Linked DNA regions of Nothobranchius furzeri. The main gene of each other region encodes a partner of the protein of the gene in region 2 in a complex. Links are inferred from orthologs where the notes say so. Each region holds a gene or a part of one and is shown on either strand. Other genes may lie near its edges.

What was found.
Region 1: ahi1 (region 2) and tmem107l share a complex: the UniProt entries of both Homo sapiens proteins name them as parts of the tectonic-like complex. The link is inferred for Nothobranchius furzeri from reciprocal best matches to the Homo sapiens genes AHI1 and TMEM107.

What each region holds. Positions count from the first base shown.
Region 1 is NC_091745.1:78,309,989-78,316,484, forward strand, and holds tmem107l (transmembrane protein 107), read right to left. Parts: upstream 3,759-6,496; 5' UTR 3,452-3,758; coding exon 3,365-3,451; intron 1,732-3,364; coding exon 1,664-1,731; intron 1,591-1,663; coding exon 1,490-1,590; intron 766-1,489; coding exon of another isoform or gene 669-765; intron 605-668; coding exon 508-604; intron 386-507; coding exon 316-385; 3' UTR 114-315; downstream 1-113. UniProt on the Homo sapiens protein: Plays a role in cilia formation and embryonic patterning. Requires for normal Sonic hedgehog (Shh) signaling in the neural tube and acts in combination with GLI2 and GLI3 to pattern ventral and intermediate neuronal cell types.
Region 2 is NC_091758.1:20,123,213-20,129,608, reverse strand, and holds part of ahi1 (jouberin), read right to left. Parts: intron 6,289-6,396; coding exon 6,179-6,288; intron 5,957-6,178; coding exon 5,385-5,956; intron 5,292-5,384; coding exon 5,206-5,291; intron 5,132-5,205; coding exon 4,945-5,131; intron 4,816-4,944; coding exon 4,623-4,815; intron 4,549-4,622; coding exon 4,453-4,548; intron 4,370-4,452; coding exon 4,184-4,369; intron 4,088-4,183; coding exon 3,935-4,087; intron 3,826-3,934; coding exon 3,693-3,825; intron 3,531-3,692; coding exon 3,407-3,530; intron 3,292-3,406; coding exon 3,062-3,291; intron 2,956-3,061; coding exon 2,846-2,955; intron 1,827-2,845; coding exon 1,708-1,826; intron 1,572-1,707; coding exon 1,441-1,571; intron 1,222-1,440; coding exon 1,081-1,221; intron 1,007-1,080; coding exon 813-1,006; intron 741-812; coding exon 695-740; intron 620-694; coding exon 516-619; intron 380-515; coding exon 262-379; intron 1-261. UniProt on the Homo sapiens protein: Involved in vesicle trafficking and required for ciliogenesis, formation of primary non-motile cilium, and recruitment of RAB8A to the basal body of primary cilium.

The DNA of each region.
Region 1 (6,496 bases), on a different chromosome or scaffold from region 2:
TCAGAAAAAAAAGTTGATTTGGGGGTGACTTGCTCTTTAAAGTCAATTAAACTTTCTTTAAACACTTTGTGGCTAGCAAACATTGTAAGGCAGTGGAAAAGAAGAAAAATGCATTTTCAGATAATTTATGGGTTTATTTAAATATAAAACAAATATTTACAGAAAAATAAATGGCAGAAGGATTCTGCAGCGCATTCAAGCAGTTTCTCAACATGACTATCAGCTTCTGTCAGATCAATACAATACTAAAACTCTAAATCTGTTCCTATAATCATGTCCAGACTAAATCTGAGTGCTTTTACGTGGAAAACTCTTTCATAGAGGCTTCTTCTTCAGTCCAAAAACCGCGATGAACAGAAGAATTTCCACACAGGCTGGTAGGACACTAGAGGGAGAGAGGGAGGGAAACATGAGGAAAACACAACCATTACACACACGTGCTTCCTCTAAATGTAGACTATCTGAGAAATAACACATTTATTTGCAACAACACACAGGCACACCGACCTGCAGGTTGCAAAAATCACCCAGTAAGTCCAGCATTCCCACTTCTCAAACACAAAGAAAGACAAGGACACAGATGCACTGCAGTGGACAGCCAATGCTGGAGACAACTGTCTGTTAGGGAAACAAACTCTTTATGAAAACAATAAAAGTTATAAACTAACCTGCAAACGGCAAGAATCCACCAGTAGCTGTCACACTGCCACTGCTCAAAGAGAAAGAAAAGCAGAGCCACTGCGGCACTGGCGTGGACTCCTGTTGCTATAACGTTACATCCAACAAGTCATGGAACTGTAACTGATGACTTTTTGACATTTAAAGAGCAAGTCACCCCCAAATCAACATTTTTTTCCTGATAAACTAAATAAATGTGTGTCTAATCGTGCTGCAGACACGTGTCGTAAATAGTTTAGCACTTTAGTGCATTTTTGTTAAAATTTAAATTTTCTGCCTAAAACTGTCAGTGTCGTGCCGTTGTCAGGTAAAAACTCTGCACTGCATTTGAATTTAAATCTGCCATCGCTATTGGCTAAGAGGTACCCTAGAACGTTAGCTGGTACCATATGATGTCACAGTGTCGTTGTGAGCCTGTGTGTGTGTGTGTATTTCTTAGCAAAACTATTGACACTCATTTATATAGTTAATCAGCAAAAAAAAAAGTTAATTTGGGAGTGACTAGCTTTTTAATAACAAATTCACTCATCCTTACTCTTTAACCTATAACAAACCTTTATTTTATAGTAATTTGGGTTTTATTCAGCTATTCCGTTTGTCTTTTAGAGAGAACCGACCAAGTGGGAGAGAGCTAAGCTAGTTATCCACTAGCTGCTGCTGCTGCGTGTTCTTTGTGTTACAGCCTTAACCAGAAGTCGCTTTACTGTTGAATATTAAAGGTCATATATGTATATATATATATATATATATATATATATATATATATATATATATATATATATATATTTCATTAAGGATGAGTAAAGGATACACAGGAGACCCTGAGTGCTGTTGAACATAGACACTCCTGAAAAGAAGCCAGCCAGCTCGATTACAAACAGACCAAGTGTGACTGCCAGCGCCACCACCAGCCTGGAGGGAACAAAAGAGATCATTTAATCCGAGAACCTGATAATACGAGTGTGTTACATACATATCTACTCACTTTTTGTCTTCGGTATCATACTGCTCTGGTGTGAAATCCAGTGGTAAACATGCTTTTACATTATTTTCCTATAAAAAGAAAAACAATTGCAAATTATTTCAAGGGCTGAATAATCTGGATGTGATGTTGACCGTAGAGCAGTGGTGTCCATCCCTGCACCTCGAGGGCCCCTATCCAGCATGTTTCAGTGGTTTCTCTGCTCTGCTGTTTTTAACCAAGAGGTGATTAGGGTTGTCACGGTAACCGGTGTAGCGGTAAACCCCGGTAAAAAAGTTGACAATAATAATAACCGTCTTGTTTTTTTAAAAACTATATTATCTCGGTGGATTACCGTGGCTGCGGTGTAGGCGCGGTGACCCTTACCAGCCACCGTATCATCTGCTGAAGTTGCCGGCGGCACATGCGCACTTTGTTGTTTACAACCAAAACTTTCTTGAAGCTAAAGCTGAAATAACGGACAAAGGAGGAGACGGCAGCACTCAGGACATTTATTATCGCTCTAAGAAGACAAAGTCAGAAGTACGGGCATTTTTTTATACCAGAAGAATGCCGAGGGAAAGCTGATAGAAGACGGCTATCCTGTTTGCAGCACGAGCAGAAAAAGTGTCTGTGAAAGGCAGCAACGCTTCAAATCTCATGACACATCTGCGTGACCATCACCCACAACTCTACAGTCAACGCAAGGCAAGCTAACGTTAGCGCTTTAGCTAAAATGCGTGATCCGAGGATTTGGGTTGAGGGAGAACGCAACGAGTCGCTATATAAAGCAGCCGCAGCGCCGCTACCTGCATATAAACCGTGTCGCGGACACCGCCATGTTGAAATGACGCTATGCATTACGGGGCTCCCAGGGGCAGATAAGAGTTGGTCTCTCTCCGAGAATAATTATGAATTTAACAACGATTACTGCCTGATGCCATTTTCCCACATCTGCAAAGCTCACTGGAAGGACACAAACCGAGGACAATATTTTCCTGATATAGGGTTTATTACTCAAGTAAGGGTAAAAAGTATCTGATTAGAAGGCTACTTGAGTACTGAGTATCATCTGGTCTAATATTTTTAAAATGATGACATCAAACAGACATAAAATAAGAAAAGTTATGGGCAAATATTGGTATTTTAAAGACTTAAGGGGAAATATGTAAACAAATAAACAACATAATTACAAAATAACACATTTTAGGCAAAATTTAGACACAAACTGAGGACAATATTTTCCTGATATACAGGGTTTATTTAGTTTCCTGAAAATGTAACACGTTTAAAACAATACCACGATAATACCGAAAACCGTGATAATTTTGGTCACAATAACCGTGAGGTTAAATTTTCACACCGTGACAACCCTAGAGGTGATTAACAGCTTCTGCAGACCTAATCATGCTAAACAGGTGACTCAACCATTGAATCAGGTGTGTTTGGGCAGGGAAACAACCAGAACATGCTGGTTAGGGGTCAATGAGGACACTTCCTGGAACTTAAATGACGTTTTATAACACAACAAGGAATATGTTTTAATTACCTTTGATGTTTAAGCAGAATTTCTAACAATGTGTTTGTGTGTTCACCTTTGTGGTATTTCATATAACAGCAACGTCTAATAAAACCACAGATCTAAAATCCCATAAAGTTTTCTCCATTATGAAAATAAAATCAGGCACAAGAAATCAGATTAAAGATAAACCATTTTTTTCTTACCCTTGACCAAAAGATGGTGATAACAATGACAAGATGAGCTGTGATGGTGAGAAACCGAGCAGGAACAAGGCTGCTGATGGCCGACATGGTGATCCTAATCAGCAAAGTAAAACTCTAAAAGCTCGTGAGTAAAAAAAAGAGTAAAAGGTTTTTGTTTACTGCGACGGAAACCACTCAGTAAGCTAGGCTAGCATGTAGCTAAATGTGCTAACTTTAAACGAACACTTTAGCATCTGTTTATCTTGCGGCTAATGACATAAACCAGCTGATTCATTTGTTTGTTTAAAAACTCGCGAAGTCTATAGCTTAGTTTTGTGTCTCGTTCGTTAACAGAGCCAAAAACTTCACGTTGTGACGCAACTAACGGTTGCTACAACAACCACGGACAATGTGCATACGGTTTTAATGACCGGACAAAAAAACGAACACCTAAACGGTTCCGCGTTGACCATGAACGCGTCACGTAAAAGAGTTTTTAATCAGCAGTAAATAATATAAAACAGAGAAACCCAAACATCTTATTTAGTAACGGTGGGTAGTCAGCGCGTTTCATTTTTCCTGGTCAGAGTTAGTAAAAGAGGTGTAGCTTGACGTGTAGCTGGATATTTATTTATTTATTTATTTATTATTTATTTGTTTATTTATTTGCTTTTTTTATTCATCAATACTGCGATCTGATGGTAACACCTGATGTCTTTTCATTTTTATCATAAAAATGCTTAAAACTACCCGAAAATTCAGGTTCCCCGAAAAAAAAAACAAGACAAAATGAAAGAAATAGAAAGGGCCACCAGATCCGTTCGCTGTTGGATAAAACGGTTTTATTTTTAAAAAGACAAACAACAACCGCATGTTTAATTGGAATTGGCAGGATAAACGTGCCTGTAAAACAAAACAGCGCAATAAGAAACGAATGTGTTTCTGTTAGATGGTCTGAGCCAGAGATTTCCCACCCCCATCCCACCAGTGGACTCTTCCCCCGAGGCAGACTGAACCGATCCAGCGTGCGTGAGCAGCGGAGCGGCACCAGCCAAGGCCCGGGCTTTGCCTCGCGGCCAGGAGAAGAAGACAACCAGCCGGGGTTTTCTCCAGGAGATCCTTTTGAGTCGCTTAAATCGAGAAAGCATCATGGCCGAGTCGGAGTTCCAAACCTTTACTTCTATCATGGACGCGCTGGTTCGCATCAACGTGAGTATGACGCTGGCTTTATTAGTCACTTCAGCCATTTGTGCAGTTTCAGTCTGGATGTTTTAGCGGATTTCCCCCCATGTTTCAGATATGAAGCCATCTGCATACAGATGTGTCCAGCTGTGATGATGGAGCGTGCTAATTCCGTTTGGAGACATGATATCAGCGTCACAGTAAAGCTCTGGCACTGTGTAAATAACAACAAAACAACATTTAAAACGTGGAAGCTGAAGTTGATGCGTTTGATTTTTTTACTGTTGGACTAATTTAAATATGTTAGAAAATAGCACGAGAGGCGTTGGGCCGTGCACACGAAAAGACAGAGATGATGCTGGTTGTCATAGAAACGGGATGCTGCGCCCTCTAGCTGCAGTGATGGAAAAGAGCCACCACGTCCACGGAAACTGATTTTCATCATGCTTTTTTTCGTGAATTTAACATTTTTATTGTTTGTTAAACATTTGAGAGAAAATGTGAGCTAACTTCGTTACATATTTTCTTTCTGGTTATTCTAACTTTACACAGTTACTCTGTTCACTTGACAAGGCCGAACATAAGAGGCTTCAGATAAACACCTCATGCATTTGTTTCTGACTCAGGTCTTTTTGTCTGTTCTCTCTTTCGACCTCTCCCACATCCACACTGCCTCTCCTCCAGTCCAACATGAAGAGTATGGAGCAGGAGCTGCATTGCCCGGTGTGTGACGAGACGGTGAAGCAGCCTATCCTTCTCCCGTGCCAGCACAGCGTGTGCCTGCTTTGTGCAGCTGAGATGCTGGTCCAGAGAGGTTATCCTCCTCCAGATCTCCCCCCGGACCCCAACTCACCTGCCTCCACCCCAAACACTCGCTCTCCAAGACAGGCACGTCGGCCTGCGCCCAGGACGCCCGACCGTCTGGAGCGGTCCCTCAAAACAGGTGGAAGGAAAGATTTGGAATAATTTACTCATGTTGGGTGGGGATGACGTAAATGACCTCAGTATCCTTGTGCCTCAGCAGTAGAAATCCACAGATGATGATGATGTGATGCAACATATCAGCTCATGACTTATTTAAGAGCATGTAAAGCAAACGTTGAGTGAATCAGACAAGCTTTAGACAGCACAGATCGGTCGTACTCTATTGTGAAACAATATGTAATTTTACAGCTATAAGGTGATAACCTCTTCTTTTAATCTCTCCCTCACACCTGCATCGGTGTCTCAGTATGTGGGACATACCCAGGTCTGAGGCGCAGGGAGGCAGCCCCTCCCCCCATGCTGTTCCCCTGTCCTTCCTGTCAGCTGGATGTGGAGCTGGGGGAGAAAGGACTCTCCGACTGCCTCCGTAACCTCACCCTGGAGCGGATCGTTGAAAGGTCTGCACGCCCACAAACACCACAACTAAGGCCTAGTCCACACATAGCCAGGTTTTTTCTTTAAAACGAATATCCGCCCCTCCAAAAACTTGCATCCACACCACCTCGTTTTAAAAAGAAACTCTGTCCACACGTACCCGGATAAATACGTTGTTAAGGACATGCCAGACCTGTAGGCGGCAGTACTTCCCCCGTTCTTAACCTCGTCCTTCGTCTGTGGTCTTCCGCAAGGATCAGTAATTCTGCTTGCAAAAACAAACAAGCAGAAAGCGCTTGGACAATTGATAAAGCGAGCGCAGCTCTGAGGGCATCCATGATGTCGGCTAGTGTAAACACAGGTCGCACACGTGATGTCAGCATTTTTTTTTGTCGCGGAAAGTGACGTTGCGAACCTTTAAACTCCGGTTTTGTCCGTCCACACGCAGACACCCAAAACGGAGAAAACGCAGATCTTCACTTTGGCCGGAGTTTTTAAAAAGATCCGTTTTCGTGTGAAAAAACTCCGTTTTCAAGGGGATGGCAGGCCAAAACGTAGAAACATATCTACGTTTTGGCAGATCACCGGCTACGTGTGGACAGGGCCTAAGGT
Region 2 (6,396 bases):
GCTTTAGCAGTAATCAGGCTGGGTGAAACTTAGCGTTTCCACATAAAACCAGGTTGCTTGACCATTGTCCCCTTATTGCTGAAATCACTCTCTTGCTCTAAAAAACTCTAAGCTTCACAGCTTTGATCAAATCTTGAAGTTACATCATGCAGGAGTTTGAGCAGCGATAATCTCTGGAAACATTTGACCTCGTCTCCCAGCTCCAGAAACTCCCTTCATTGTTCCAGCACAAATAACTGATTATCTGGACGAGACACTCACGGGTTTGTGTACTCAGGGCTGCTTGCGGGATTAGCTGTTCTGCAAAAGAACCAGAGAGCTGCAGCTTGGAGTGCGGTGACAGCAGAGACGGAGGTGGCAGAGAGACATTTAATCCCATCTGAGGAAGAGCAAAAACTTTCATTTACACCTTCTAATGCAACGTCTACTGATAATACACAACAGAAGGCTTAAACGTTTTAACTCTGAAAGAAATGTGGAGACAAACAGCCTTCATTAACTTTAATATGACTCACAGTAACCTTGTGAGTCTGTGTGGTGTTTGGGGTCTGTAACCGTATAATCACCGTGCTAGTGTCTGGTGGAAAGCTCTTCCCCATATGACTGATGCCCATTTTGTCTGCAAATAAAGAGAACAAGACTAAATACTCTGCATGTAAACAAACAAACTCATCTGAGATGCTCTCATACAGACCGTGATCCGAAAGAAATCCAGAAGCTGAAGATCGGCGATGTGGTTCCTACAAATGGTGTCAAAATATGAGCCCCGTTTAAATAACTAAATGATATTTTGTGAGTTAAAGAAGATTTACCAGAACTGAATCCAGCCGCCGTTTAACAGACTGCATTTTCATGGCGAGTCGTGCTGCATGAGCAAACTGGTCCATGGCCGAAGGAGCAGAAGTGTCCTGCAGCAGCAGCAGAGAGTCGGGCGTGTTTCTGAGCGTTCGGTCTGCAGACGCCGATGTGCTCGCTGCTTTAATGTTCTGCATCTCCAGCTGGGAAACTAAATGATAAAACATGTTTAGCAAAGTGTACGAAAAGCAAAAAACAACAAAAATCATCAAAGACGACACAAACCTTTGCGATCGTACAGGTACACGAGCACAGGCTGGCTCTGACCGTACGCGCAGAACGCCACCATGTTCTCATGAGGGTGGAAAGAGACGCCATGGAGAGCGGTGTGGTAACAGAGCTCAGAGTATACCTCAACCTGGTCACCTGGGAAGAGCAGGAGAAGTCAACAAGATGCAAAATTCCCAACTGAATTTGATTTTTTTTTTGTTAATAAAAATTGATAAGCTGTGGCGGCCATCTTGAACTGGGTGAATCAGCTGTGGACACACATCCTGTGTCTTAACTTACTGAGAGTTGCATTAAAATCCATCCAGTTTACTGAGACAAGCACATCTTCACCGGCGGCGACTAAAACGCTGTTACCTGTGTCAGTATTCCAGACGTACGCCATCCCATCCTCGCTACCAGAGAGGAGGAAATTCCCACAAGGTGTGAAGGTGCTACAAATCCTCTCTCTGTAGTTTGTTGCTCCAGTGTATCGCTTCACAGCCAAACTGGGGGCGACAAATGTAAAAAAACATAAACTTTCTGTTAATTTTCCATGATATCTATAACATGACTTTACTCATTCCTCTTCAAAGTTTGTTGGTGTAGCTATCATTAGAGATTTTTTATTTTTTTCTAACTTACATCCTTAAGTCCATCATCCTCAGGATGCTGTCTTTGGCGTGTATGAGCAGGCACCGACCATTAGGGTGGAGCTGCAGCATGCTGATGGGTATGCTTCGCAGGTCATCCTCAGAGATTTTCTGCAGAGACAAGAAAAAAGTCCATCCATCCATTTTCAGCCGTTTATCCGGAGTTGGGTCGCGGGGGCAGCAGCCTAAGCCGAGACACCCAGACTTCCCTCTCCCCAGCTACTTGGGCCAGCTCTTCCGGGGAAATCCCAAGGCATTCCCTGGCCAGCTGGGAGACGTAGTCCCTCCAGCGTGTCCTGGGTCTTCCCTTTGGTCTCCTCCCAGTTGGACGTGCCCAGAAAACCTCACCAGGGAGGCGTCCTGACCAGATGCCCGAGCCACCTCAACTGGCTCCTCTCGACGTGGGGGAGCAGCGGATCTACTCAGAGCCCCTCCCGAATGGCTGAGCTTCTCATCCTATCTCTTAAGGGAGAGCCCAGCCACCCTGCGAAGAAAACGCATTTCGGCTGCTTGTATCCGCACTCTCGTTCTTACGGTCACTACCCAACGTTCATGACCATAGGTGAGGGTAGGAACGTAGATCAACCGGTAAATGGAGAGCTTTGCCTTCCGGCTCAGCTCTCTCTTCACCACGACAGATCGGTACAACGCCCACGTCACTGCAGACGCAGAACCAATCTGCCTATCAAACTCACACTCCATTTTCCCTCACTCGCTCAAAGAAGAAAATATTTGCAGAGAAAAATATCTTTTTGTGTCTGTGAGAATTTAGTTTGACTCCAATTGAACAAATCTAGACTAGAGCCCTACACTGGGACTGGGATCCCACAGAAACCAACGCTAATCTGGTGGATGCTGGCAGTTGTGAGACTGCTGTAGGAGGGAGCGGGTGGCTAGAAGTATACCACGAATCTCAAGACTGTTGATAGGATGAAGAGTACAACTGAGGCTACAGAGGTAACACGCGACATAAATATAAACGTATTTGATCGTAAAACATGTTGTTTTGTTATTTAATGGAGCTGCAGGTGGAGGTGGGGTTGGACACAAACTTTGCGAGATTGCATGGGAGTGACAGAAACAGACAACATAAAGAATAGTCCCACACGGGCTCTAATCTAGACTCGTACCCTCTCTATGCACCAACGATGACATGGCTTCTGTCGGTTCTTGTCATCATTCACTGAAGTTTTCCACACGATGATGGTGCCTGTGTTGTCTGCAGAGAACATCCTAGATCCTGTTTACACAAAAGAAATTACCATAAACAGTCAGAGGTGTTTAGGAGGGACTGAACCAGATGGGAAGGACTTGGTGGGGTCATCTAAACATTTGGAAGCTAATACCTTCAGAGTCAAAACAAATGGTGTTGATGAAGCTGCTGTGACCCTCAAACTCTTGCAGCAGCTGGCCGTTCACATCAGGGACATCAAGCCTCCACACTCGCACCAGACAGTCGTAGCTCCCTGTCACTGCCAGGTTCTGAGCGCTGGGGTGGTACTGAGCGCAGTACACGAAGGACGGATGAGAGAGGACCTTCTGGGCTGTTTCTAGAAGCATCTCGACATTCCACTCTCTGAAGGAGGAGATGAAAAGGAAGAAAGTGCTGTTTTATAAAATGTATTCCGAAGCTTAACAAAATCACACTGATATAGTAGGAGAGGCTACTGCGCCCTCTTGTGGGAACTTACCTCACCGTTCCGTCTGAGGAGGCAGACAACAAGCTTTTATCATCTCTGGACCAGCAGAGATCGTACACTATCTTCAGATGGCCGCTGAAGGCAGCTAACGCTCTGCCGGAGGGAATCTCATACACTGGAAAATTAGACAAATACGTTCTTTTAAAAGGTGCTTCCTCTCCCTTCTCCTGCATGCATGGATGGTTGAGGACTTCAATACAAAGTTGTGTAAAGAAACTCCCAAAATCGTTGCTGCTCACAAATAAGGTGAATTTTGTACAGATGAGGTGTGGCTCACCTACGACGGGGAAAGCATCTTTGTCGGCACAAGCAGCAGCCAGCATGGTTCCAGCGTGAGAAAACAGTACGGTGAAACATCCCATCTGACCCCCACGGAACGACCAGACCAGTTTGTTAGGGATTCGGCAGATCTGCAACACACAGACAAGGTCTAGTCCTGAGCTCTTCACTTCCTTAAGTAGATCAGATAATAAACATTTGATAGAAAGCAGCATCATGTGACTTGGAGCCTCCGCCGACCTGACCAACAGCACGGCTCCATCTCAGGATCGGCTGCTTGCTATCAGGAGGCTGTGTCAGAGTTTTCTGTGTGATCTCTTTCTGCAGATCACTATAGGTGGTGCTGCCTCTCTCCTCCTGTAGCGCCATCATAGATCGGATACCGGGGTCCACCTGCACAAACGGCACAAACCAACTCTGCTTTACCAAAGTAGAAGTATGGACAACAGAAAAACGTAATGAATCATCAGTTTCTAGCTGCAGACTTACATGTTCTGGGAGTTTGATCCCTTTCACGGTAACATAAAGGGTGGAAGCATAATGGATTCGTGGGTACTTCCTCCACCACTCAAACACTTCTATCGTTTTAGTTTGTCTCTTTGCCCGAGGTGGAGGGCAGAAGAGCTGGAGACGAAGTTTACTGTCGATGTTTAAAACATCATTTGTGCCAACAAGCTAAAATATGGAGAGAAAACATGTTTAAAAATGATGAACAGTAACAAATATAGACTGACAAGTGAACAGAATGTTCTCTTTACCTTCAGAAACGCCCATGCGACCTTTCTGAACCCTTGCTCGTGTTTATCAACGTCCAAGTTGGCTTTTACCTCCTCCATGGTCTTAAAATCCAGGATCTTAAAAAATATTTAGAAAATAAGTGACTTTTCTTAAAATATGGTTATTCACTTGGTAATGAAGTATATCTCACTTCAAAGAAGAGGATGACTCTGGGGCTTTCATCCTTTTGCTCAACAAAGTAGCCAAAGCGTTCGTTGAATATGATTAGCTCTTGCCACTCGGGGATGATGGATTTGTTCTTCTTGAAGTCAAAAGGCTGAGTCATGATAGGGAGGATATGGTCGACGTTCTGTCCCTCATAATAGGAAGACACAGGTCGATGGCTTCAAAACACAAACAGATTTCACTTTTAATTAAATGTTTGAGCATGAAAACATTTTTTTAAACTGTAGCCCAAATATTTTAACGCTGATAGGTGTAGCAGCATAAGATCAGAGATAACTTCTTCTCACCAGTCCCTTTTCTTCACATAATTGCCCGTGATCTCATCAACAACGTGGATCTTCACCATGGGGTGCGAGATCAGTAAGTCCGTCTTCAGGCGATCCGTTTTATGAACGAACACTCCCAGAACAAGACCGTCATCAAATGTCGGCTTTTGCTCCTCTGCTGCTTCAGCTTCACTTTCTTCTTTGACAACTAAAAAGTTGAGAAAAATAACTCATCAAAATCTCTTTTTATGTTACACAAATTACTTTGTTTTAAAAAACTACCGTGCTTCTTCTTCTTTTTCTTCTTTCCCTTTGATTCAGTTTTATTTTCCTCATCAGCATCTGGATTGACTTCCTCATCTTGATCCCTGATTAAAGAAAAAAAAAGTCAAAATGCTGCTTAAACTTTATTCTTGATATCAAAAACTACAATAAAGCTAAAATTAGAGAGAAATACACACCCTACATCTGACTCAGTTGTTACAGATTTCAGCTTTTTCTTTTTCTTCTTCCCCATATCATTATTCAACACAGCACTTTGTGAGTTAACAGTTTCCCGTTTGACCCTTGTTTTCTTCACAGTCAGCTCCTCTTCCTGTGCCATCTGCTGCTGGTATTCATGCAGTAGTTTATCTTCTGGATCCTCCACCGGACTCTCTGCAACATCTTCTACATTTTCTCTGACTTTTCCCTTCTTACTTTTTCCTTTTCGTTTCTTTTCACCAACAGCAGCTTCTGGATTCAAAGTATTGTCGGCTCTAGAAGCATTTGCCCCCTCCTGTAAGTCCTCTGGAATGTCTTTGGGTACAGGTAAAGAAGGGAGGTCCCTCTTACTCTTCCTTTTGGCTTTTGATGCTTTAACTTCTTCATCCTTGCTGTTGTTACAGTTAACCTGTTCTGCTGTTTCCTTTTCTCTTCGTTTGTTTTTGGAATAACGAGGGCTGCCCTGTTCAGGGTCATATGTGTTTTGCAGAATGGTTTCGTCATCTTCTGTGTCTTTCTCAAGGTTCAGCTTCCTGGTCAGATTCTGAAGCTTTGAAAAAAGAGATCGACAATAATAATACATGTGATTTATTAATATTTTAAATTGCTAGAACTGGTTCACATTAAAGAAAATAGAACATTCTTCTGTTGCAGATGCTTTCTATAATTATATTTCATAAATAACTCAAGTTTGAATACAACACTGCAGCCAGAATGTAGAACATTTGATGACAACCACTGGGTGGAAAACAGCACATGTCAGAACACCTACCACTATGGTCTCGTTTGCTTCATGGATTTTCTTCTTTGACTTTTTCTTCTCAGATCCTGAATATTTTTTGAAGACTTCATTAAATCTTTCCCGGGTCTCTTCACTCACACCTGGAAATGTTTATTTTTTGTTATCTATACAATTCTTGATTACAAAAGTTGCTTGAGATAAACACTTTAGAATCATTTGCTGAATTTGTAAGTGGTTGTAAAAAAACA